Lytechinus pictus: one gene and its partners. The protein of the gene in region 1 binds, or shares a complex with, the protein of each later gene. Links are inferred from orthologs where the notes say so. Each region holds a gene or a part of one and is shown in the gene's direction. Other genes may lie near its edges. The genes, in order: vacuolar protein sorting-associated protein 33A-like, vacuolar protein sorting-associated protein 8 homolog and vam6/Vps39-like protein.

Evidence for each region.
Region 2: vacuolar protein sorting-associated protein 33A-like (region 1) and vacuolar protein sorting-associated protein 8 homolog share a complex: the UniProt entries of both Drosophila melanogaster proteins name them as parts of the class C core vacuole/endosome tethering (CORVET) complex. The link is inferred for Lytechinus pictus from reciprocal best matches to the Drosophila melanogaster genes car and Vps8.
Region 3: vacuolar protein sorting-associated protein 33A-like (region 1) and vam6/Vps39-like protein share a complex: the UniProt entries of both Drosophila melanogaster proteins name them as parts of the homotypic fusion and vacuole protein sorting (HOPS) complex. The link is inferred for Lytechinus pictus from reciprocal best matches to the Drosophila melanogaster genes car and Vps39.

Annotation. Positions count from the first base shown.
Region 1 is NC_087246.1:16,839,412-16,847,143, reverse strand, and holds the start of vacuolar protein sorting-associated protein 33A-like, read left to right. Parts: upstream 1-4,642; 5' UTR 4,643-4,853; coding exon 4,854-5,003; intron 5,004-5,988; coding exon 5,989-6,054; intron 6,055-6,499; coding exon 6,500-6,739; intron 6,740-7,732. UniProt on the Drosophila melanogaster protein: Core component of the class C core vacuole/endosome tethering (CORVET) and the homotypic fusion and vacuole protein sorting (HOPS) tethering complexes involved in endo-lysosomal vesicle trafficking and lysosome biogenesis.
Region 2 is NC_087245.1:17,278,602-17,285,875, reverse strand, and holds the start of vacuolar protein sorting-associated protein 8 homolog, read left to right. Parts: upstream 1-4,255; 5' UTR 4,256-4,617; intron 4,618-7,274. UniProt on the Drosophila melanogaster protein: Part of the class C core vacuole/endosome tethering (CORVET) complex involved in endo-lysosomal vesicle trafficking and lysosome biogenesis by facilitating docking and fusion of endosomal vesicles.
Region 3 is NC_087251.1:20,216,141-20,224,052, reverse strand, and holds the start of vam6/Vps39-like protein, read left to right. Parts: upstream 1-4,891; 5' UTR 4,892-5,031; coding exon 5,032-5,104; intron 5,105-5,679; coding exon 5,680-5,745; intron 5,746-7,912. UniProt on the Drosophila melanogaster protein: Part of the homotypic fusion and vacuole protein sorting (HOPS) tethering complex involved in endo-lysosomal vesicle trafficking and lysosome biogenesis.

The DNA of each region.
Region 1 (7,732 bases):
AACTTGAAAAAAGTCAAGAAACGAGTAAAAGAAAACAAACAAAAAACAAATCTCCACAGGTATAGATCAAATTAAAAGAGCCAGAGACGGAAAAGAAGCGAAATGAAGGGAGGAGGGGGGGGGGGGGGGATACGGAAGAATAGAAGATATCCTCAAGATATCCTAAGTAGAATGAATAATTTGAGTGTACGGTTATTAGTGCATGAGGTTATATTCTAATGCTCTATTGAAGCTATATTGTATGCTTATTTCGTAAAGCTAGTGAAAGTGAGTTCCAAAGTTTGATGCCAGCAGAAGATAATTATGAACAGTTTGTTTGTTAATAATGTCCTTGTTCTAGGTAAATGGAAAAGTCCAGCAGATCTTGTATAGGTTAGGGATGGATATTGATATTCCTTGTAAACATAGAATAAATACATCTGGTATAGTTCATCTCTACTAAGGTTGTATATCCAAGATTATAATGGTAAAGATCATGTATCTTATATTAAGAATACCATGAGTTTTGAAAAGAACATTCGTGTGTGCCCGATAATGAGAATGGCAAATAACGCGCAAAGCTTTTTCTGGAGTAGTAAAAGTCTATATATTCAAATGAAAATCAACACAAACACCCCATGCAATAATACAAATTCTATGTTACACAATATTATCTGCGTAAATACGTTCGGTTTGTTAAATCATTGTGTCGTCTGTTTTTAAAAGGTAAACATCCTGTAAATTACGATTTTTCTTTGTGAAATTTTAGTATTTTTAACAGTGTACAGCAGGGGCGGATCAAGGATTTTCCAAAATGGGGGGGGGGGGGCACATTTTTCCGAGGAAAAATTTGACAAGCAAAAAAAAGGGGGGGGGGTTAAAAAAAAGTGATATTTAAAAAAAGTATTCACTTTCAAAGGGGGGGGGCACACTTCTGTTTTAATGGCATCAGTTTTACATTACAAAACTTAGTTTTGCTTCTCAAAAGGGGGGCACGGGCCGGCTGTGCCCCCCCCCCCTGGATCCGCCAGTGGTGTACAGTATCATACACAATAAATTAAATTCAAGGGCACGTGCTTGAATTTGTTCATTGGAAATGAATGTGCATTTTTCGCACCAATCAGCATCGCCAAGATTAAATCGGTGGTTTCAATTGCAGTACTGAATTTAGTTTCCTTAGAACATTATTACAACTTTTGCGACAACATGCAAAAGTCTAGATTTTAACCTTGGCCCACTGAACAGATATATATTTTGACACTCAGTCCAGGGGCTTTCTAGACCTTTCATAAACATGCTAATGTCAACGTACACTGTGATGTTGCTGGCGCAATATAAGTTTTGTGATGACTGTCATACCAGGTCAAAGTATATAGGCCTATATTTACATCCCATTGGCTCAACAATGTGTTTTTTCCAATTGCCAACATTTCGCGACTGACGAAATTGTTGACTTTGTACTGATGTTGGCCCAACAATACCTTTGCGACATCGTTGGTCCAATATGTTGACACTTTGCCAACCTTTCCCTATTGTCAACATTGTGATGTTGGACGGATATCAATTTTGCGATATGGGCGATATCATAATTACGTAAAAATAAAAAAGGAGATTGTTAGCATGTTTTTTTTCTTGCAATGTAACAAGGGCAATGTTTTGGGGAAAAAAGTAAAAAATACTTCTTGCTAAATTTTCGTTTGCAGATTATATAGGCCTATTTTCTAGTATTGATATCAGTTGAAAAAAAGAAAAAGGATATAGATATTATTTTGAATTATTATTTGCTTTTTATAAAAGTTTTGTTGGAAATGAATCCAAGTGAAAAATAACAATTAAAAGACTAATTAACATTTTTTTTTCACCTGTTATGTTGAAAACTTGCTATACGTCCAGTGTATCCCCGCGGCAGATTTCACCGGGAAAACGAGAAAAGGGAGCGAGAAAGAAAGGGAAAAGGAAAGGGGAAGGAACGGAGGAAAAGGAAAAGGGAAAAGGTGAATAGAAAAAAAACATTAAAAATGGAAAACGGAAGGGAAGCGGGAAAAGGAACGAAAGAAAAACATGTGAGAAAAAACAAATCATTCCGAAATAGGCCTATTATACATTAGCATGATTACTTAGAACGGAAAATAAATTAAAAGATGATCCAAATAGCAAACAAAGGCGGGAAATTAATTTATACCCGATGGAATGAGCCAAGAGCTAATTTGGATAACGAAAAAACTCAAGGGACAAGAAAAAAAAAAAAGAACGTAATAACACGACCGGGCTGCCGAGGATTAAAAATAATTAGTAGCAGGGGGTAGAGGAAGGAAGGGATGGACTACAATTAAACTTGCTAAATTTTATGCAATAATGGTCGCAATCAGGACAAAAATGTCCCTATAGCCAAATGCTTGAAATCCTCATGTTATTATTTCGTTATAATGCCCTATACCTATATAGGCAAGCTTTACGCTGGCAAGAGTTACCGTCAAAAAGTCTTTCAAGTGTTTACTTTGGCTAAATGTCCAAAGCTACCGGGGGCTCTGCCCCATATACCCCAAGCAGTATATAGGGGCTCTTCATCTGTAACCTTCAAAGGGCTCCGGAACGACCCTGTATGGCCTCCTTCCTACATTAAACTTTTACTGGCGTGCAGGGGGGATCTTGCTTCCACACAGAAGGGGGAATAAAAAAAAATAGAAGGCAACGCAATGAAATGAATGGAAAACAATGAAATATGTTATTTGCTGAATTTAATGTAAAAATCTATCAAATAATTCATTAGAATTTCATTTCAAAAGGCCATTTTCGGGCTCGCTTCGCTCGATTTTCCCACATTACTATCTTGTGACCCCTCAAAATATTTGTCTCATTGCGCAACTGCGTTGAATTTTGTGTAAAAGATATATACTGTATGTATCTGCGATTCGATTAAAATTCTGTAAGGTTTAAAATGGCTTTGATATCAAGAGGTTCCGGTGGCTCTGCATGCGCTTCTCCCACTCGCATAGCACAGGCGGTTTGGCCATGGCCCCCAAAAGTTCTACAACCCGAACAAAAACAAAAAAAACAAAAAAAAGAAAAGGAGGAAAGAAAAGCAAAGGAAAAGTGCAAGATATGATGTTGGAGCCTATTTACTGAATATAATGTCAGAAATGTCTCAAAGTTATATTCTCATGAAAATGTTTATTTTTTTCTCGCTGGCTTCGCTCGCTCTGGACTTGTATTACGCAGCTTTTTGGCTCATGCGCCATAATACTGCAGTGCACCTCTTTTTTTGTTTTTATACTCTTCACGCTATACCGCCGCCCGCATGTATAGATCTTCGCGCACAATCATTAAAAAAAAAAGAATCCTGTTCACAGTGGCGTATCCAGACAAAAAAATTAACAAGGAAAGAAAAGGAAAGAGAGAAGGGTGAAAAATGATATCATTTTCTGAATATTATGTCAAAATCTGTCACAAAATGTGACTTTCTGCTCGCTCGCAACTTTGTTTTTTGAATAAATTCTGCCGGGTACGCCATGTCTGGTCCTCTCAAATATTTTGCCTCGTTACAACACTGCCTGTTCATATCATGATTATGACCGGCAAATTTTTGGCTCTTGCCCCACCCCCCCCCCCCCCGGCCATCGACCCCTGTTACGCCCCTGATCAATATAGAAAACCGTGTATCTCTCTCCAGAAATGGAGGCAAATATTAAAGATTGATGCACATGTACTACTTTGAAATGAAATGAATAAAGGAGACCAGTTATGGTTGTTTTACAAACAAAAAAATAGGTAAATATATTTACTGTAGTGGCCCAACGCTGAAAATTTCATCAAAATTGAGAAAGTTATGACATTTTAAAGTTTCGCTTAATTTCACAAAACAGTCATAAAATGCAGATCCTGGTCGGTATGCGAATGAGGACACTGATGACGTCATCCACTCATATTTCTTTTGTATCTTATTATATGAAATTTTCTCCTAATTGTCAAGTGAAACACGATTAATTCCCCCATAAACATGTGCAATTCATTATCATTGTTTAACGCTATACATGTGTGGTTCAGTCAAGTTGGTCCCTTATTGTCATACTTATCTGTAAAAAATGAAATATTGTATAATTCAAACAAGTACAATAAAACAAAAGAAATAGTGAGTGAGGGTCTCATTTGCATATCACTGTGTTGTGCATTTCAGTGTTTTGTGAAAAATAACAGAGCCAAACTGAAATGTCAGTCATTTGCGATTTTGATGAAATTTAAGCGTTATGCTAGTTTGATTTTTCTATATTTATTCAAATCAACATTTTCTGGGGTGGACTTGACCTTTCACTATATGAAGATGAAAGAGGCACTCGAGTGAAAAAGTTAGTAAGCCGGGTGCACTGTTTTTCTAATAGGGGCATTTTTTAGTGCTTCAGCCGCCCGTGGATTAAAACTAATTTGTAACAGCTAGGGGTATCAATAAATTTTAATTCTTCAGTATGGACTTGCATGCCGAGATATCAGTTGGAAAATTTTCAAGGAATATTTTTTTGATATTGTAAAATAATTCAAATTTTATCGGTCATTTAACAATGGTTGAATTTTAAAGATATTTCTAATATTTCCATTTTCTTTTTTATTCTCTTTTAACCTTGTTTCTTTAATTTCTCCTAATCTCTTCCCTTTCCTCCGTATATTTTTATTTTTGTTTTGTAGGCCGACGGGAGTGGGGACGTGCCTAGTTATGCAATTGCCTGCGCGCTGCGTATGAAATCAACCACTCTCTTGAACTAAATCTGTTTGGCCTTTTTTAGCTACGTACATGTGGTCTCCGATCCGCCCGCCCGCCGCGCCGCCGCGCCCCGGTAGCTAGAGCTAGCTCGGCCTCCGCGGTCTTTCTTGCACAAATTTATATGCAGCAACGGTTCATTTTGTATGCATATATCCACGAAGAAAAAAAAATGGCCACACATCTTGTCAGTGGACGTGTGAATTTAGCCTTTTGGAGAGAAGTTGCCAGAAGAGAACTCTTAGATTGTTTGGACAAATGCATAGGGAGTAAGGTGAGTTTGATTGATGTACTGCTTAACTTAGATTAGAATTCGTTTACAACAAATTTACAAATTTACAAATTTAACGAGTAGGCCTAGGCCTAGGTCTAACTTTAATTACGTTCCACGACTCTGACGAGCCTGTTGTGTGACTGGGGCATATGATTACGGGAAAGGGGGGGGGGGGGGGGGTGGACTTGAGGGGGGTGGACTTGGGTGTGTCAGACTCTGTTGTAATTGTATTGAACATGTTGAACTGGATATCGGTTCAGCTCAGCTATACATTATTAGGCCTGGGGGGTTAACAAGACAAAAAAAAAACGACGGGCCGGCTCTTCGATTTTTGTCTTTATTTCATAAAAATATAGGCCTATATTATAGAACTGGACCAAAATGAAGATTAATATTCAGTTTTGGCCTTAAATACACACACAAAAAAAAACTTTTTAAAGGGGGGAAAAAGTGACTTACTTCAGTCTATAATTTGTGAGTGGAGCCAACAGAGTTCAGCAGAACAACCAATAAAACTGAGACCAAAGCTTTTGGTCTAAGTTAGGGGTGATTGTAAATTTACACCTTTTTTGTTTTATGCAGGCCAGTTACGTTGCCAGTCGTTGGTATCTAAATCTAATGTTTTACAGGAATAACGTCGTTTCTGGGGATTTATTAAAACAATTTTGTAACAAAAATGTGACATTTATGTAAAAAAAAAAACAAGTCCTCAAAACAAAAGAATTGTGATATTTAATATTTAATAAAAGAAATAAATAAGCATGATACTGATTATTTTTTTTAATTGGTCCTAAAAAATTATTAAATTGAATATTCAAATCAATTCAATTCAAATTTGACAAAATATTCATCAAATGAAAGTTACAATCAAAATTTCACTTGGGATTTTTTTTTATTGTTAGCACAACAGGTCACTAGTCATACATAACTTTTGTTTATGAACCATATTACCGTATTCTTCTGTCGATCATCATTTTACATGCAGGCAGTGGTCTGGGATGATTTTCTTACGGGACCTATTGGGCTCATCGCTGAATATTCCTTGTTAAAGGTAGGTTGTCTACAGCTGTATAATGATCGATGAAGGTGTTATTGCTCTTGCACTACAACATTAGTTGTGGGAGGTCAAGCTGACAAGAAGACAGTCTTGATGAAGAAGAAATAGAATAAAATAAAAAAAGAGGTATTTGAAAATAATGTTCTATCTCTGAATACCGTTAACACTGGTATCTATGCAGTGCCATTGTACCTTCCATCTAACATTGAAGACGAGTTCACTTGGACACACAAAAATACCATTAAAAAAATAACTTTCTTCCTTTGTCATTGTATGGTAGTAGGGTAGCATATAGGCCATAGCTTGTACATTGAATAAAGTTTGAGCTGTTCAGAAAGTCTCATTTGTCTAGTTTATAGATACTATGTCAAAGAAATTATAACAAATTTACATCATTTTTGTCATGTAAGTAGTGCCAAATTCATATCTCTTCATTTAGGAACATGAAGTTGACCGTATGTTCCCCCTTCGACATGGTCATCTGCCTTTGAAGAGTTCGTCCAGTGGTGCAGGTGGTACTATCCAGAATGTTATATTCATTGTGCGCCCTCGATTGGACCTGATGACAATTGTTGCAGACAATATCCGCAAGGCGGAGGAAACCCCTGGACGCTTCCGCAAAGAGTTCCACATTTTCTTTGTGCCAAGGAAGAGTCTTCTCTGTGAGAGAAAGTTGACGGTAAGTTCCCTAACATTGAAACAGCTTAAAACTCAGGGATTTTATGGTCATGGAGAGACCTGTATCGGCCGCACAGAAACGCTGTTAGCGTAACATTGCACTAAGAAAGGGACCTGTTACAACTGGTAATTTCGTCGCGATGGCTAATGTCAAAGTAATGCATTATTTACATCTGGGATCAATGCTTGACATCACAATCTGTATATCATTATTCATTAACAAATCAGCTACTAACAACATGGGTAGAATGACCGCACAGTCAGAAGGCACATAAAGCACTGTTAAGGCACCGTTAGGCACAAGTGTTGTTAGGGGATTTGAGTTAGGCAAAATCTATAATTTGTGCGTAGCGATCTAGATTTAACTTAAGATTTAGTTATGATTATTTGCACATCCTACGAGTTTAAAATCTTGTCTAGGAAAGGGTAAAGGAATGTAATTAATTGTTATATAGGCCTAAAAAATTTCCTTATTATTACATTTTAAACATGAAATGACAGCAAGTATATATTTACTAATTTAATTTTTAAAATATTGAAAAGGATTTAAAAGATCAAGAAAATTAGCCTATCATGATATTACGATGGAGATTCTGTACAAAAAAAAATGCAATCCCACTTATCATCAGTTTATTTGTTTGAAAATGCTCTTCACAGACTTCACTTATCATGCTCATGATAGAGTATTTGCCAGTGAGGATTATCATATGATAAATTTCATCAGCTATTGTTCTTCTTTCTAATGTAGGGTCTATTCTTAAAAATGTCTTCAATAAAAATATCTTGGAAGAAAAAAATATTGATGAAAAGGATCATATCTTGGCACTAATCAACATCTCCCGCTGTATACCCATACTTATAGGGGTACTCCAGGCTGAAGAAAATAATACGGTTTGAACAGTAAAGTGAGACAAATAAAACACTGACAAATTAATAAAAATTGGAAATGAATATAACAAATTATGGTATATTAAAATTTTGCATGAGGCCCTAT
Region 2 (7,274 bases), on another chromosome or scaffold:
GGTTCACCAGTCGTTCTTAAAGTCGCTCTTAACTTACGAACAGCTTTATGAAACGGCCCCCTGGTGTTTTTTTTTTCATAATGAAGGGGCTTACACATTGAAATTTTTTTTGCTGGAATTATTGAGGTCCTAAGATCCTCAGAAGTAATCAACTACAATTCATACAATCTGCTATACTTTTCAAGCAATGTAAAATATGGACCTATTTTGTGACTCGTGTGATACATTTTTAGGGTGTTTTCAATCTTCAAGTTTGTGTAGCTCATCATATATAAATGTAAAAACAAACTTGATATTGTAGAATGAGTGTAAAATAAGACTTAATGCAAAATAATGAGGTATCTACACACTATAGAACGTTGTTTTAATACTCGGTAAAAAATTATCTTAATAAGTATTTAACACTTAATGTATACAGTGCGTATCAAAAAAAAAATTTCACTTTGAAAAAGCCCTGGGAATTAAAAAATACATGTGGGTAATTTTTTCACATATATTCTTGGGTTTGGGTCTCATCTATCCAATGAAAGTAAAAGATTTGACAGAATATTACACTTGAGTGAGTACTGTCCATTTTTGTAAATCTGTTTGCGCAGAAAAGCTCGTTTTCACACTGTGTCGAGGGGAAAAGGCGAAATCAAACTTACCCTGTGAAACATTTTTCATACATTTCCCTTGCACTTTTAGTCAATTGAAATAAAACGGATACATTCAAGCATTTTGTAACAATTTTGCCACTCAATTTAAAATTTTAACAAATTAATAAGCACAACCTTTACCCTTTTTGTGCCAGCTGGATCTGAGGACATAATTGAATCTAAACAAATGTTTATATCAGACATCTCCAGCATTTTTTCACGTTTTTCAAGTTTTTATTATTTAAAGTGGGTTTACATTTCATTTTTCATTTAATTCTTGTTTCTTCACACTTTTCCCAAGCTTGACAATGATTAACAAAATGAAAATCAAGCCTAAGCCATTTCATGTAAATCACAGCTCAGTGTAAATATCGTCACGATGGCCTCGGTGTGTGGGGGAGTGGGGGGGGGCGCAATGGCACTCTTCGAAGTGTTTTGGGTAAGAAAACAAGTTTAAAAAGGTAAAAAGATATCTTCAAATCAATGTTACTAGCTAAATGTCATGTGTTCTTCATTATTAAGGTCTACTGTTATTCGCATAACTATTTCAAAGTTCTGCGCAAATCATTTTTCACTAACTTTTCAAAAGTAAGTGGTGCTCACCCAAGCGGAAATATTTTTCGACAGTTATATCGTCATTTGCTTAAATGGATCTGTACCCATGTTAACATGTGGAAAAATCTTCAGGATATTACAAATGTATAATTTTACAGGATTTTGTCTCAGTGTAAACTTTTTTTGATACGCACTGTATAAGTAGAATTTATTATTTGAAATTATTTCTCGATTTTTAGGTAGCTTTAACTTGAATTTTAATTCAATTGAATTACTTGATTTATTTGGGTTCATATACATTTATCAAATTTCATGTATCCTTGCTTCGATTAAGTAAATCTAACTCCAATTAGGAAAAGGTGATTATTTCTTCTAAAATCATGATCAGTGTACTTATATTTTTTAATTAACGCCTTATTTAAATAATATTTAATATTCATTGAGATCAAGTAAATGTTAGCATTTCTAAATAAATTTCATATTTTTTTGTGTTTGAAATTGTTCTGTATTAGGGTGTGCAAAATATTTTATTCTTTTGTTTCATCAAAGAAAGAGCACCATTACATAGTCACTCATCAGAAAATTTCAGATGTCTTTTTAGGTTTTCGAAAAATGTATATATTATTCTCACTGTTTTATTTGTAGTTAGGATGAACCGGTCGCGTAATGAATATAAATGTCAGTACCTATCATTTACAGGTAAGTGACAATGTATAAAGTCTAATATTTGGATAAATAAGAGATGTCTAAGATGAAAATGATGCCACTGAAAGCGGGACGATGGGGGAGCGGACTTTCGAATCACGAAAGTCCACTTCCCCATTTTTATTTTCAGTGATTGTGTTACTTTAATAATTAATAAAAAAAACCGCGACGCAGATCAAATAAAAAAAAAGTAAATGTATTGAAAATGCCCGCCAAATAAAACACCTGGGAGGGCTTTGTCGAAAATTGGTGAACAGGAACAGCAGTTTAGCCCTCATTTTCAGAGTGGACGAACAATTGCAAAATGTCGTTTGTGCAAAGTGTAGGGCGATCTGCTGATTTGATTATTAATCTTCGACAAAGAGTTTTTAGTTGTTTTTTTGTCATTAAATCCATTTGACAATACATTTCCATTGAACTTGAAAGCGTTCTGCGTCTCAGTTCGGAAACTTCCTACTTTTTTATCTATTCACATCTTTCTCTATCTTTCTCCAGCCGCCCTTGGATGTTTCTCTCTCTCTCTCCCTCACACACACACACACACACACACACACCCTCACACACACACACACACACACTTTCTTCCTCTCTTGCTTTCTTTCCCCGTCTTATTATTATATTTACTCTTCCTTATTTATATTAAAAGGGGAAAAGAAGGGAAACTGAACGCTAGTTTTTAGAACTGAATCATTTTCGTATAACTTCTTACCTACTATGCCAGCTCCTGACCCTCCTCGTCATCCAATACTATAGTTCAATAATATTCCAACTGTAAGCTATTTCCAGCTACTTCCCTAAACCATGAAATAAAAATAAGAGCTATAGAAATTATTATAGCAATTATTAATATGGTATTAAAGGTACATGAGAAATAAATTCTATATAGCTATAGATGTTGGGTGATCAAAATGCCAAGATTGAAAAGAGCACGATAACCTAACTTTGAAATCATGTTTTCTTTATCATTGTAATAAAAGGGTATAGAGTTACACAACTCTCATCACGTTGCATTTTTATTTTTCTCCCTCTTCTAGCTGTTTTTCTCGTCTCCTTCCCCTTTTTTCTTCACTTTACGAAATAGTTACGTGCACACTAAGAAAAAAAATCGAGTTTGCACCCCTAGTTACAATAACAGCACCCTTTATTACACTGTAAAAATGATGTGCTAATTTGGCACTTACAGTGCTTGTATAGTGACTGCACTACGAGTGCCGATTTTCTAGTTTATAAATTTGAACAAGAAAATCAGCACTCGTAGTGCAGTCACTAAATTAGCACTTCATTTTTTACAGTGTAGGCCATAGGGTGTAAGTTTGCACACTAAAGGGTGTAAAGTGTGTGCACTTGCACCCAATAGGGTGCATATACTGTAAAAAAAAATATTGGTTAAAATTTTACCACCACGAGGGTAATTATGTGTTCAACCAATTTGAGGCAGTATCTTACCCAACGCAGGAAGCATGTTGTCCAGTAAGGTTAAAAAAAACAAGCAGCAATAACTTTAGAATGGGCAAAATTTTCATCACACTGGATATTAATAAAAATGCCCAAAACTTTTGAGAAATGCCAAATGTCGGTTGGACGCAATGATGCTCTGTGGCCAAGTTCTCTTTCAGTCTGCTGCTCTCCCTCTCCCCTCTCTCTCAGTTCCTCTATCTGTCTATTGCCTTCCTCTTTCTCGTAGTGTCTTTGGAAAATGATTTTTTGTTTTTGATCGACATCACGCGTTCGTCCATCTCACATCGCTATTTTTACCATTTAGATGACCATGTCGTCGGTGATCAATCGAACCGTCGCACATGCAGGTACGACATTTCAAACCCATTTCAGAGAAATTTTACTTCAAAGTTTGTTAAAATTCCAACAGTTTGAGTGATTTATGATTTAGTTATACAACCCCCACGTCACATACCCAATATGTCCAAAGCTATCAATACCAAGGAGCGTTCAGCGGTGCCCATGCACCCCCCAAATAAAATGGAAGTTTCAATGTCGAATATTCCTTGCAGACACATATAAATCATTTTGTGAGGGCTGAACGAGGTCACTTTATAATTAAAACATTACAAAATCATAGGATATTGTATAACATAACGAGTACAAGGGGATGATTGTGCGAATGGTGCTGTAAACAGAAATAGGTCTACACTCTAAAAATATATAGTTGGGCAAAAATGTCCAACTTGTAACCAACTTTGGGCAACATACAACTGTCCACACAACTATTGTTAAAAATCTGTCCAAATTGGGTAATAAAAACTTACATAATTGGGTAATGAATTTGTTTAGTTGGATATAAATATATATATTTCTACCAACATACATTATCCAACACAGTGGACAGTATGTTGCCCAACATTCTAAGTGCGTATGGTGAGAGAGGAAAGACAAAACATGAGCTAGACAGGAGAGACAAAATTGCTAGGGGGATATTTCAGAACCTATCAGTTAATGAAACTTGATAATCTAAATTATTTCATCTGTGCCTTGTAGAAATTAAGTAAATTTATTTCGAACAATAAATATGGATTTTTTTGTGGGGGGGATATTAAAAATTATTAAAAAATGACCCGCGCGGCATAAAATGCATGCAGGCTCTATAGCCTAGCTAGGCCGGCAGGAGCTTCGATTGTGGGGCGTAGTCCAGACTCTGCTGCTGTTGTCTGCCGGTTAGCCAAATTTGGACTGATTCTGAGGTCGAGTCTGAGCTGAATTACTTGTAAGTACTGGTATTAAGGATTTTTTTAAAAAGAAGTCTGTGTTGAGTTTTGCTCATAGTTTATGCAAACGTTGTCCACTTTTCAAGGTTTACTTTAATTCATAAAATAGACCAAGGCAAGTGTCCCGAGGAGCAAAATCCAGTCTGCTATGCCCCACCTATTGACTTTGACGTGTGTTGTTGTTTTGTCAGTCGTTTTTTTTCTTTCAATCATGTCTTTCTTTAGTCTCTTCACTTTAAGTGTAGACCAAAAGCTTCAGTCTCTGTATGATTGGGGGACCTAAAGCTACGCACTTTGTTTTCAAACTATAAAAACTATGCCAATTTTAATATTTGAACAAATCATCTTCAAGTTTCACTAGGCCTACCTAATTTTGTAAAATATAGACGTCACTAGACACTAGGCCTAGTTCTAAGTTAGATCTATTATATTCTATAATTCTAAAGATCCTTAACCAAGAAGAAAGTGTTACAAAACTCACTAATAGCATTACGAAAATCCCGCCGTGTTTCGCCGCCCGATTTAGAAGGGGTCCTAAAAAGTTACGCTCTCGATTTATTATGCAAAGAAGTAGTATTTACTGTTCCGAAATTTCTAAAATATGTCTGTGTTATTAATTTAAAGGAAAAAAAGAAATTAGAGTGAATATAGAGCAAAGTGCCCAAATATTGGACACTTAAGCATTATTGGACTAAAACAAAAATACAATTGTTGCATCAAATATAAATCATGTTTATTTCCGTAGTACAAATGTTGAATATTAATGTCATTAAAGAATAGAAATGAAAAAATTATTATGCTAAACAGAAATTATTTACTTACTACCAGAAGTTTGTTTTTTTGCCCAAAATCGGATGCCGTCTCCAAATATTGGACGAGTAGAGTTGTTGGCCGCAATCAATTTCGGCGATTTAAATCGTGCTGTAGACCCCAAAATAATTCAGATTCAGATATTTTCATTGTCCAATTGCAATCATGATTTATAAATGGAAATTCAATTTGTTCGCACAAAATAATTTAGAATATCACATGATACACACAAAAGATTACACGATGAATAAAGTATATATTATACAAATCAATAAGCAAAGATAAGAGAAATTAAGATAAAGGCAGGAACGGGGGGGGGGGGGGGATAACATAATTTCAAGTATGGCTATTAAATTGCTGACTTGTTGATAAAATGATTTATTTTAGCTGCGCAAATGCCAATTTTGATTATTACTATAAATAACTTTGATATAGAATTCGGTAAATAATGATAATTTACTTACCCAACGGACCTCTTTCGGCTCTTTGCTCAGCTGCACGCGACTTCGTTCTTGAAACCTGCGCGCGCGTTAACAGCACGCATTTCCAATTCAATCGGCCGATATGTCCGATGTTTGAGATAGTGCCATATTTCTTCTTTGCAGATTTTTTTGCGATAGATCGAACATGTGCGATCTCGCAGCGGCGATGTTTCTGACGAAAGTCACTTCTCCCTTACGAGATTTTTTTGGTCATCGATCTTTTGGAGTCCATAATTAGCGAGGGTCGTAAGAATCTCTGGAAGTCAAAATTATGGATTTTACCGCTGGATTTAACCCCTGGAATTTTTTTTTTTGAGCAGCAACTTGGATCTACTGTGTGTGCAGCTCAATAGCATGTATGTTCATGTATTCTTATGCATGCAAGTCCCCTGCCAGTTCGGGTCCCTGTAGTTACAGTGAAGGGAGTTCAAGTCATTTTTGGAACCGTCCGATGTTTGAGGGTTTTACTCCACCTCCAAAATTCCAAAAAATTGTTGGTTTTCTCTGCATTCAAGGATTTATTGCAGCCTCTGAAAGCACTCTGTAGAAATATTGAATAGGGATCGTTCGTCACTCTATACAGTCACAGCTTAAGCTTCACACACAGAGCTAGAGTGAGCATTTATTTGCCATTGAAATTGCATGCGCAATGGAGTAGTGCGTAGCTTTAGAACCCCCTACCATACAACTGATTGTTCCACTGACTTTCGCTGGCTATACTCACCAGTTGATCTTCATACTTTGTAGACTGAATTCTCGTACAATTGTACATGTAGGCCTAGGCCCATGCAGACTCGACATAAATCCGCTGTTTCGGAGGAGTTTTTCAACATTTTTTTTCCTCCTACACAGACGGATGGATGATGGCCATTGCACTCGTAATGGTGGAGTTTCAACGACGCCTTAACTACAACGACTATGGAGAAAAGGGTTCACTTTTGCAACCTCCTCGATTACTCCTAAATTTTGCTTTAATTTTAACAAGGGAAAAGAGGAAGAAATAAAATAAATTTATATTGAATACAATCAGCTTACCACTGCCCACCTTTTTGAAAAATATGCTGGAAAATTTGATGACAAACACATCAGGATCAGGGGATTAGCTGGCACGTTTGTATGCTCACCTGTAGCTGCGCTGATGGTGATCGAGCGATCATAGAAGAACCTTGCTGATCCTGATCTGTTCGTCATCAGAATTCGCTATTTTCCATCATATTTTTCAGAAAGGTGGTAAGCTGAATGTATTTAATATAAATCTATCTTTATTTCTTCTCCTTTTCCCCGTCAAAAAGCAAAATTTAGGAGGATGCGTCAGCACACCCTTTTCTTCATAAACGCTGTACATGTAGTTAAGGCATCGGTGG
Region 3 (7,912 bases), on another chromosome or scaffold:
ATTGTTTACTAGGAACAGAATGCTAAAAGAAGTCACCAAAGGGACTTTATATTGATCGGTAATACCTTGGTCACATTTGCTCTACGGCGGCCGTATGCCAGCTTGAAAACAGCCATTTTAACATTTTTTGTACCAGCTGCATATAGGTGATTTGAATTAAAATTAATAAAACAGCTGTTTTTGACTCGCCGTACGGCCGCCGTAGAGCAAATGTGACCAAGGTATTAGTGTAATTGAACAATTAGATTAGATTTTAGATTTCGTCAAAGTATCTAATTTTATGCAATCCCATGGAAGTGTTTCATCTGGACTCCTGGAATCTCCAAAGAAGTGGAAGGGTCAGCTCAGCCTTGATTTTCCTGTGCACGGCGGCATGTAATGAACCCTTGAGTGCAGTCTCTGTATGACTGTAAGTGTAACGTATATGTACATTGAGTGTTCTGTTGGTTACACTCAGGCTCAGCAAATCAGATTTTATAAAAATTTAGGCCTTTGACTTTTTTTCCACCACCCAACCTCATGGCCTGAACATCCAAGAGGGGAACGACTGATTTTTCTTTCCTATCCACTTTCAATTTATATATACATATAATTTTTCCCCTCAGCTCTTTTGAATAGTTACATTATAGTTTCTTACTCTACTTTCCTCCCATATCTCATACAAGCTCAGCTCCATTTTTTCCTTCCTTATTCAGGCGATATAATAATTATTATTATTATATATATATATATATTTGTTATTTCTCCACTCACCTCTTTTAGATTTACCACATTTGCTTATTTACATGTATACTATGGTTTCTTCATAATACACCCCCTCTCTTCTATATTTGCTTTTACCTTTTTAGGCAATTTGCTTCCTCTTTTTCACATATACAGGTTTTTTTTTTTTTTTTTTTTTTCCTACTATATAGTCTTATGTTTTTTTCCCGTCACACCTAGCGGATTACAATATCAGTTACACCATATGTGTATTTATATATTTTTTCATATACATTTCTTTTTTGGATATATTTATATACATATCACTTATAGATACATATTTACACTTACCTTCTTCTCTTAGTTTGTTTAATGCTTTATCATATATACTTATATGTCTTTTGCACATTATCAGTTGTTCCCCATTCTTTTTCTTTTTTTCCCCCCACTCTTTTTCTTTTTTCCCCCCCACTCTTATGCACCAGTTTATTAAGCCTTTCTTTGTAACCTGTTTGACCCACCTCTCACTAATTCTCTTGTTTTTCATCCCATTATCACTGTTTTGTTCCAGATCCTGTTTGATGTTGCCTGCCTCATTATTTTAATCCCTCTTGGCTTGAGGTCTTTTACTGGCCTTACTTACACTAACTTCCCTTTGTGTCTGCCTATACTCCTTTTCTTTCATCCCCTTCACTAACCTGATTGGTCTTCTCTACTCACTAATGCCTCTTTTGTCTCCTTGTTTCTAGTGTTGCTGTAGCTTGTTTGTGGTCTATATTATGGTTGTTCCACTTTATATGTTTGTCATTTTGCCTCCGACGAAGATTCTGCTAGGATCGAAAGCTTAGGCCCCTTTTTTACTTTCTAATTTTTCCAAAAGAAATAGAACCTAGACTAGATATAGCCTTTCAAGGTTGATTAAACCCGAAATTATGTCTATATCTGATAAGATCTAGGCTCTGCCTAGCTACATGTAGATAGGACAAAATATACATGGGCAAGTCCAAGAAAGGGTCACCCTAGAAGACAAAATTTCATTATTTTAAGAAGTTATCTTTGATGGAGTAAGAAAGCCCAAATGTTGAATTTTAAAAGTTCATTAAGAAAATGTTTATAATATTCAAATTTATGCTAATTTGGGGCACTTAATTTGCATAATTGGTAAAATGGGTGTTACGTATGGGACAATTATAAAAAATCATAGAAAATCAAAACAAAACTTGTGAGATTTAGTCATAGATGGGACATGGACCCCCTAAAATCTTATTACTCTCGGGGGACAAAAGTGGTGTCATCTAATTGAATATGCAAATTGGTTCTTGTCTAAGGATGGAATGTCCCATACCAAAATTTTGAGGATATTTTTAAAGTTATTTCTCAGAATACAATACATATTTGCATGATGCATCTCTGGGAAGTTTTATTTTATTGAGTATGAAAATATTATACCACAAAAAGTTTCAAAAATGTAGGTTACTTTTTAATTAAAAGTTAATCAAAAAATTGTTACGTAATGTACATGTATGTGACATGTATTTACACACAATGTCAATGGGGAGCTTTGTGTACAAAGTGAATGGAGAAAAAAATATTTCAAGAGTGCTCTTAATAGTGATTTATTTACCTTTTCTTTAGTTTCTAAAATCTGATTTGTTATAAATACTGATTAAAAAAAATTCAAGCAAAAAAAAATAATTGTGAAAATGGAAAAATATGAAAAAATAAAAACCATAGAAATATGCAAGAAATTCATGAAACCATGGAAAACATGAAAAAAATGTTGAAATGGCTAATTTCCTTTTCAGTCAGATCAAATATATCTCAGAACATCTTAAAAGAAAAAACTCTTGTTATTTCCATATTTCAAATTCTAATTTTCAAAATTATGGAGAAAATTGCGTTCGTTCTCTATGGGGACAAAATGTCCCATACGTAACATGTCATTAATTTGTTTAATTAGAGTCTGTAATTAGAATGACATGAAACTTGCCTTAGATATACTAGAGTGTTGTGACTTTTATCACACTAAGTTGCAAGTTGTCAAATGAAATTCTTTCAGAGAATTCTCAACTTGAAAAAATATTTGAAAATTGTCTTTTTCTGCGTCCCATAGGCTTTCAATCAGGGTCTGTGCCTGCAGACTAGATTCTATCCTTCATTTGACCATGGACCTATGAAAAGATGGAATTCATCGCTTACGGTAGATAATAAATTCACAGGTGACTGTTATTGTCATCTGAATAACATTCTCTTCATACTTGTCTACTTTGGTCCTATGATCGCTACCGCGAGAATGGCCTTGAAGCAGTTCGTGATTGGAACTTTATATTTCACAGATTGTATGCGCAGTTGATAACAAATCACTTGAATCATGGAAAATCGATGTGCAGTTCTTGTTTACCTTTTGTAATCTTAATTCCATGTGTTTTATTTGGGAAAATGTTGTCATATTACTAGGCACACTTGTCATTGATTGCTAATCATTTCAAATTTCTCCATAATATTCCAGATATATGTGGCACATAACGTGTATAGATCATGTATCTCTCAATGCTATTGAGGTCCTTACGTGCGTCCAGAAGTGTCTGGATAGAATGATATCATATTTCATATCACAGAAATCGTCTGTTCTCAAGTTTGTTGCTCCACATTAGCATGTTGATTGAAAGGCACAAGCTGAAACGGTATCAGCCAACAAAACTACATGTAAGACCTTGGGAAACTGATCCGTCTTTAAGTGATCAGATACATCTTGGTAGTCATGGTAATTGCTATTGTCACAACACAGGTATGTTCTTATTATGATGCACATAACCAGGTGACGGTAACTATCATTGGATCAAAGAAATGCTCGTGTTAATCGTCCATCTCTTCATAGGTCCATGATTGGACATGTGTCACAAATCATGCGTTCAACGTCAATCCATGCTAGAGCCACTGAATTGCACCACACTGCAGGCAATATGTAACCCGGAAGTCGCAACAGCCATTCGTATCTGTATCACGCTCAAATTCAATGTTGAGTGAAGGCAACTCGGACGTTTCACTTGACATTATTTTAATACGAGTTCAATGTGGTTGACTTTCTCCCTTGTTTGTTTTATTTTCTGTTTGAAGATACAAATCTAAATTCACAAGAAAACTATGAAACTTGGAACAAAACCACAGATTTCTTGATTTTAGCTATTTTTTTGGTGATACTGTTTCTTAAATCCGGGCTAAGCCTCTGTGTGCTTTGGAAATATTGCAGAGATTCTACAATTTTTTATGGAAAAATAAGGCCTTCTAGATAGATGGAATTTTGGAGTTGAAAACTTTATTCGATGGATATAACAAATTGTGTTTAACAATTTACGGAACCAATGTTTGTTTGTTTTTCAAATCTCTATTAAAATGATCTGAGAATGTGTCAAAACTTAAAACAAAAGAGCTTCCAGAATTTTTAAAGTTTTCATTGCTTTTCAAATTTCATAGTACAGTGTGGCTCGTCAATATTGAATAATTAGGTCTGCAGAATCAAATTCATTTTCCAGTAGATCTGGTAAAAAATTTAATATTTAAATTGTATGATATGTGTTTTGAAATTTATGCAAAAATCAATATTACACTTTTTAAACTGGAAACTAGTATTTGTATATATCTACAGGAAGCTGCCATCTTGCTCAATTCTGACCCAAAATCAAGGTTTACTTCCGGGTCAGTTTCACTCCTTCTTCAACAATTCCTTCTTCAAAAATTTGGTGGACACGGTGTGCCATCTATCAGTTGCAGCAGACAGGCCAATTTCTATTAAACTTCAGGGTTTTAATCAGGCGCAGACAGCAGAAAGTGCTAGTGTACTGTAATGTGACTGTGATGATTCGAAAATGAAAACCATATTAGGGCCAGGGCCCGTATTCCACTAACGAGATAAGCATGCTTAGGTAAAAAATTGAAGCATTTTGTCTTATTTTCTGTCTGAGACAAAATTGTTAGCCAAAACGCGTATTCCATAAAGAATTGGCTAAGAATTTTGTCTTAGAATTTGGCTAAGAGTTTTTTTTCGCGTGACAGATATAGGGTAATTGGCTAAGTAACTTTTCTTAAAACTGCAGAGTCTGTATCTCATAAATACAACATGGCTAAGAATTTTGCCCTAACTTTAAAACAGTTGTGAGTTGGAGTATTTGGGGAATTTGATTTTTAATTGATGTTTTAAAGATTTGATCTTAACTGTTCACAGATAACATGTCGGAGTCAGTGGGCATACCTGCAACATGTTAAATTAATCAAGAACCAGGAACAACACAGAGTGATCTTCTAGCTGCCAAGATTACTCTCTGATCCACCATGCATGATGCTTATGAGGCACGTCCTATCTTGGAGAAGCTTCCTCTACCTATAGAATCAATAGCCTGCCATGGTAAGTCTATGTTTTGCACAAGTTTTGCAGGCCACAAGTAGGTCTGCATCTTAGTATTTATTTCCCATCCTTCCTTTTGTAATGGGTTGAGGTTAATGACCTGATGCCTCTGATCACCTCTGGTGAATAATAAGGAATTTTCGCATGCAGAACTAAATGCCCTTCATGATGAAGTTTTTGTCAAGGGTTAGTGAATCGAAACGGACTAAAAACTTTTCACCCAGTGAGCCAAATAAAGAGGCATTCCTTTGACCTTTTAGTAATTAATATTAAAGTCATATACTTGGAATCCAGTGTGCATTGAATATTGTAACATGATTTGAAAATCAGCTGCATAAAAATCACAATTTTCAGATATCGAGCTCATGAAATTTGTCGCTTTCAAAGTAGATTTACATGTAGCAGTAAAATTATTAGCATTTGGTTTTTTATTGTAAGAATAAAAATCAGTTTTATGATGCAGTGTACATATGGATGTTTTAAGCTGGATTATTTCCATGGCTTAGTTGCAATAGCACCATAATGGATGTGCTGTATTTTGTAAGAATTTATGATTATCTTTCATTCATTTGCAGGAGATCAATTGCTTGTGGGAACAAAACCAGGACACCTTCTGGTATACAGCATCACAGGAGGGCAATGTAAGTAGTCCATCATTGGAATGACTTTGTAAATAATATTGTATATTATCAATAGATTTTGGAACAAATTGCATTTTGCTTATTTTCTGAAAAAGTGAATAAAAAGTTTAGTTTTATTTAAGTTTCATATTAACCGCAAAAAACAATTATGGATGATTGTAGGCCTGTATTTTGTAGTAAAGGCCAAATTGGTTTAAAATCATAGCCAGTCATAGAAACTTTGCTATGACGTTTTTCTAATATTAGGGATGGTAGCATATTTTAAACAGCAAGATGTTCTGTGTATCAATATTTGCATCAAGTTTTACTTTGTTTTATTCCAAAATTGGGTTGCAGTCCAATCGCAAGTTGTTTGATGGCCATTAAAAGAAAAGAAAACAGAAAACTGTTGGTTGTTTTTATTAAGATACATTGTAAGGCATTGGTCTGATTTCAGTATATAACTTCTTTTATTTAATGACCTCAATATTTCCTCTTGAATGTAGCTGAATTGTTTATTCAAACTGGTTTTGTGGTCATGTTTGTGGCTTGGAAATATCTAACAAAAACTAAAATCACCAGAAACACACTTTGTTACAGCTACAGTACATCAGATGCAGGGCAATACCTTGATAAGATGTTTAATATGTTTTATTTTTAATTTGTTTTATTAATTTGTTTATACATGTACATCTTTTCCTTTGATTCTTTTGATTGCTAAATCAAATCTTAACTTGCATCGTTTGCATAATTTTACACTTTTGTTAGGTCATTCAAAATTATTTTATGGGTCATCTATCTATAGTTAATTTTTCAAAATCAGACAAGTTTAAAAATAGGTTAATGTACTGAAAGTCACATGGTTGTACTGTAAGTTGATCCCAATTGAAATACTGGTATAAATTCTGTTTCAAATTTGTGTGCTATATACAAAGTATATACGCACTTGTTTGTATTAAGAGTATTTATTACTGTATGGTCTAGAGCACTGACATGTACATAATATGGTCCTCATGTTGTGTGTTGTTCAGAGTATGACACTTCATAGGCAGTGAAAGTAATCTCCCAAGTGTTTGATGTAAGTCATATTCATGTGACTGATTCAGGATTTAGGTGTCAGCTGTGCAGTTACCCAGCTGACTACATGTAGGTCTGTGTTCACACTAGGCTCTAGTTTCAAAAAAAAGTTAGGGACATGTGCGAGCAGTCTTTTGAAGGTGATATTATTGAATACCTGTGTTTGTGAAGCTATGATAGCTTACAAATTGTGCAGGTGCTTCCACATAATTGATAAATGATTCCATATAGAGTACACTCTATGAAACAGATATGAATTTGATTGTATTGAACATTTGTACATGTAAGTAATGCGGCATTATCCATCATGAGTAGATGATGTGATGAAGCATACTGTACAGTAGAAGTGGAATTACATGTATATTATATTTCTGAACACAAGTTACTAAAGTCTGCGTGAGACAGGCTTAATTGTAGACATTGTTCACAATTATTGTAAATTGTTTACAATGAAGCCTGCCTTACAGTGCAATCTGCTGCGATCCAACTTTGGCAATAAAATCACAAATCAGTAAAAGTTTTGAACTTTATGTACCCAATTTTTTATGTAAAAAATATGGATATAAACTACATTGCATATGAATTTGGTGCAAGGTTAGTCACATATTTGAAGTAAAGGGCTAATCAGGGTCCCGTAACATAACGGTTAGCGATCAATCGTACACATGATTTTTACGATTGATTGTACATTGTATTGTAGTAAATGCAATCAATCGTAAAAAATGTTCTATGATGATTGCTATTAAAGCTTTGTGTTACGGGCCCCTGTTTTTAAATCACAACTGATATGCTCTGAAGTCACTATGATTGAATTTTTTTAATGAATTAGACTTTTTCGGAAAAAAAAAGCATCTTGTCTCAAAATTATGATCAGTTATCTATTTATGATGGCATTCATAATCTCAAATGAATTATATGTGTAGTCATGGTAGGCGGTGCTGCACCATCCCGAGTTTGCTCAATCTCGAGATTTTAGCCCGATCAGCCCTCTTCGCGATTAATCTCGAGATTCAAGAAACCCCGTCTGCACCATCCCACGAGGAGCTATATCTGCTCGAGCGAGGCAACAAGCCCGATATTCCGGGCATGCGCACTTTCGGATCTTGGAGTT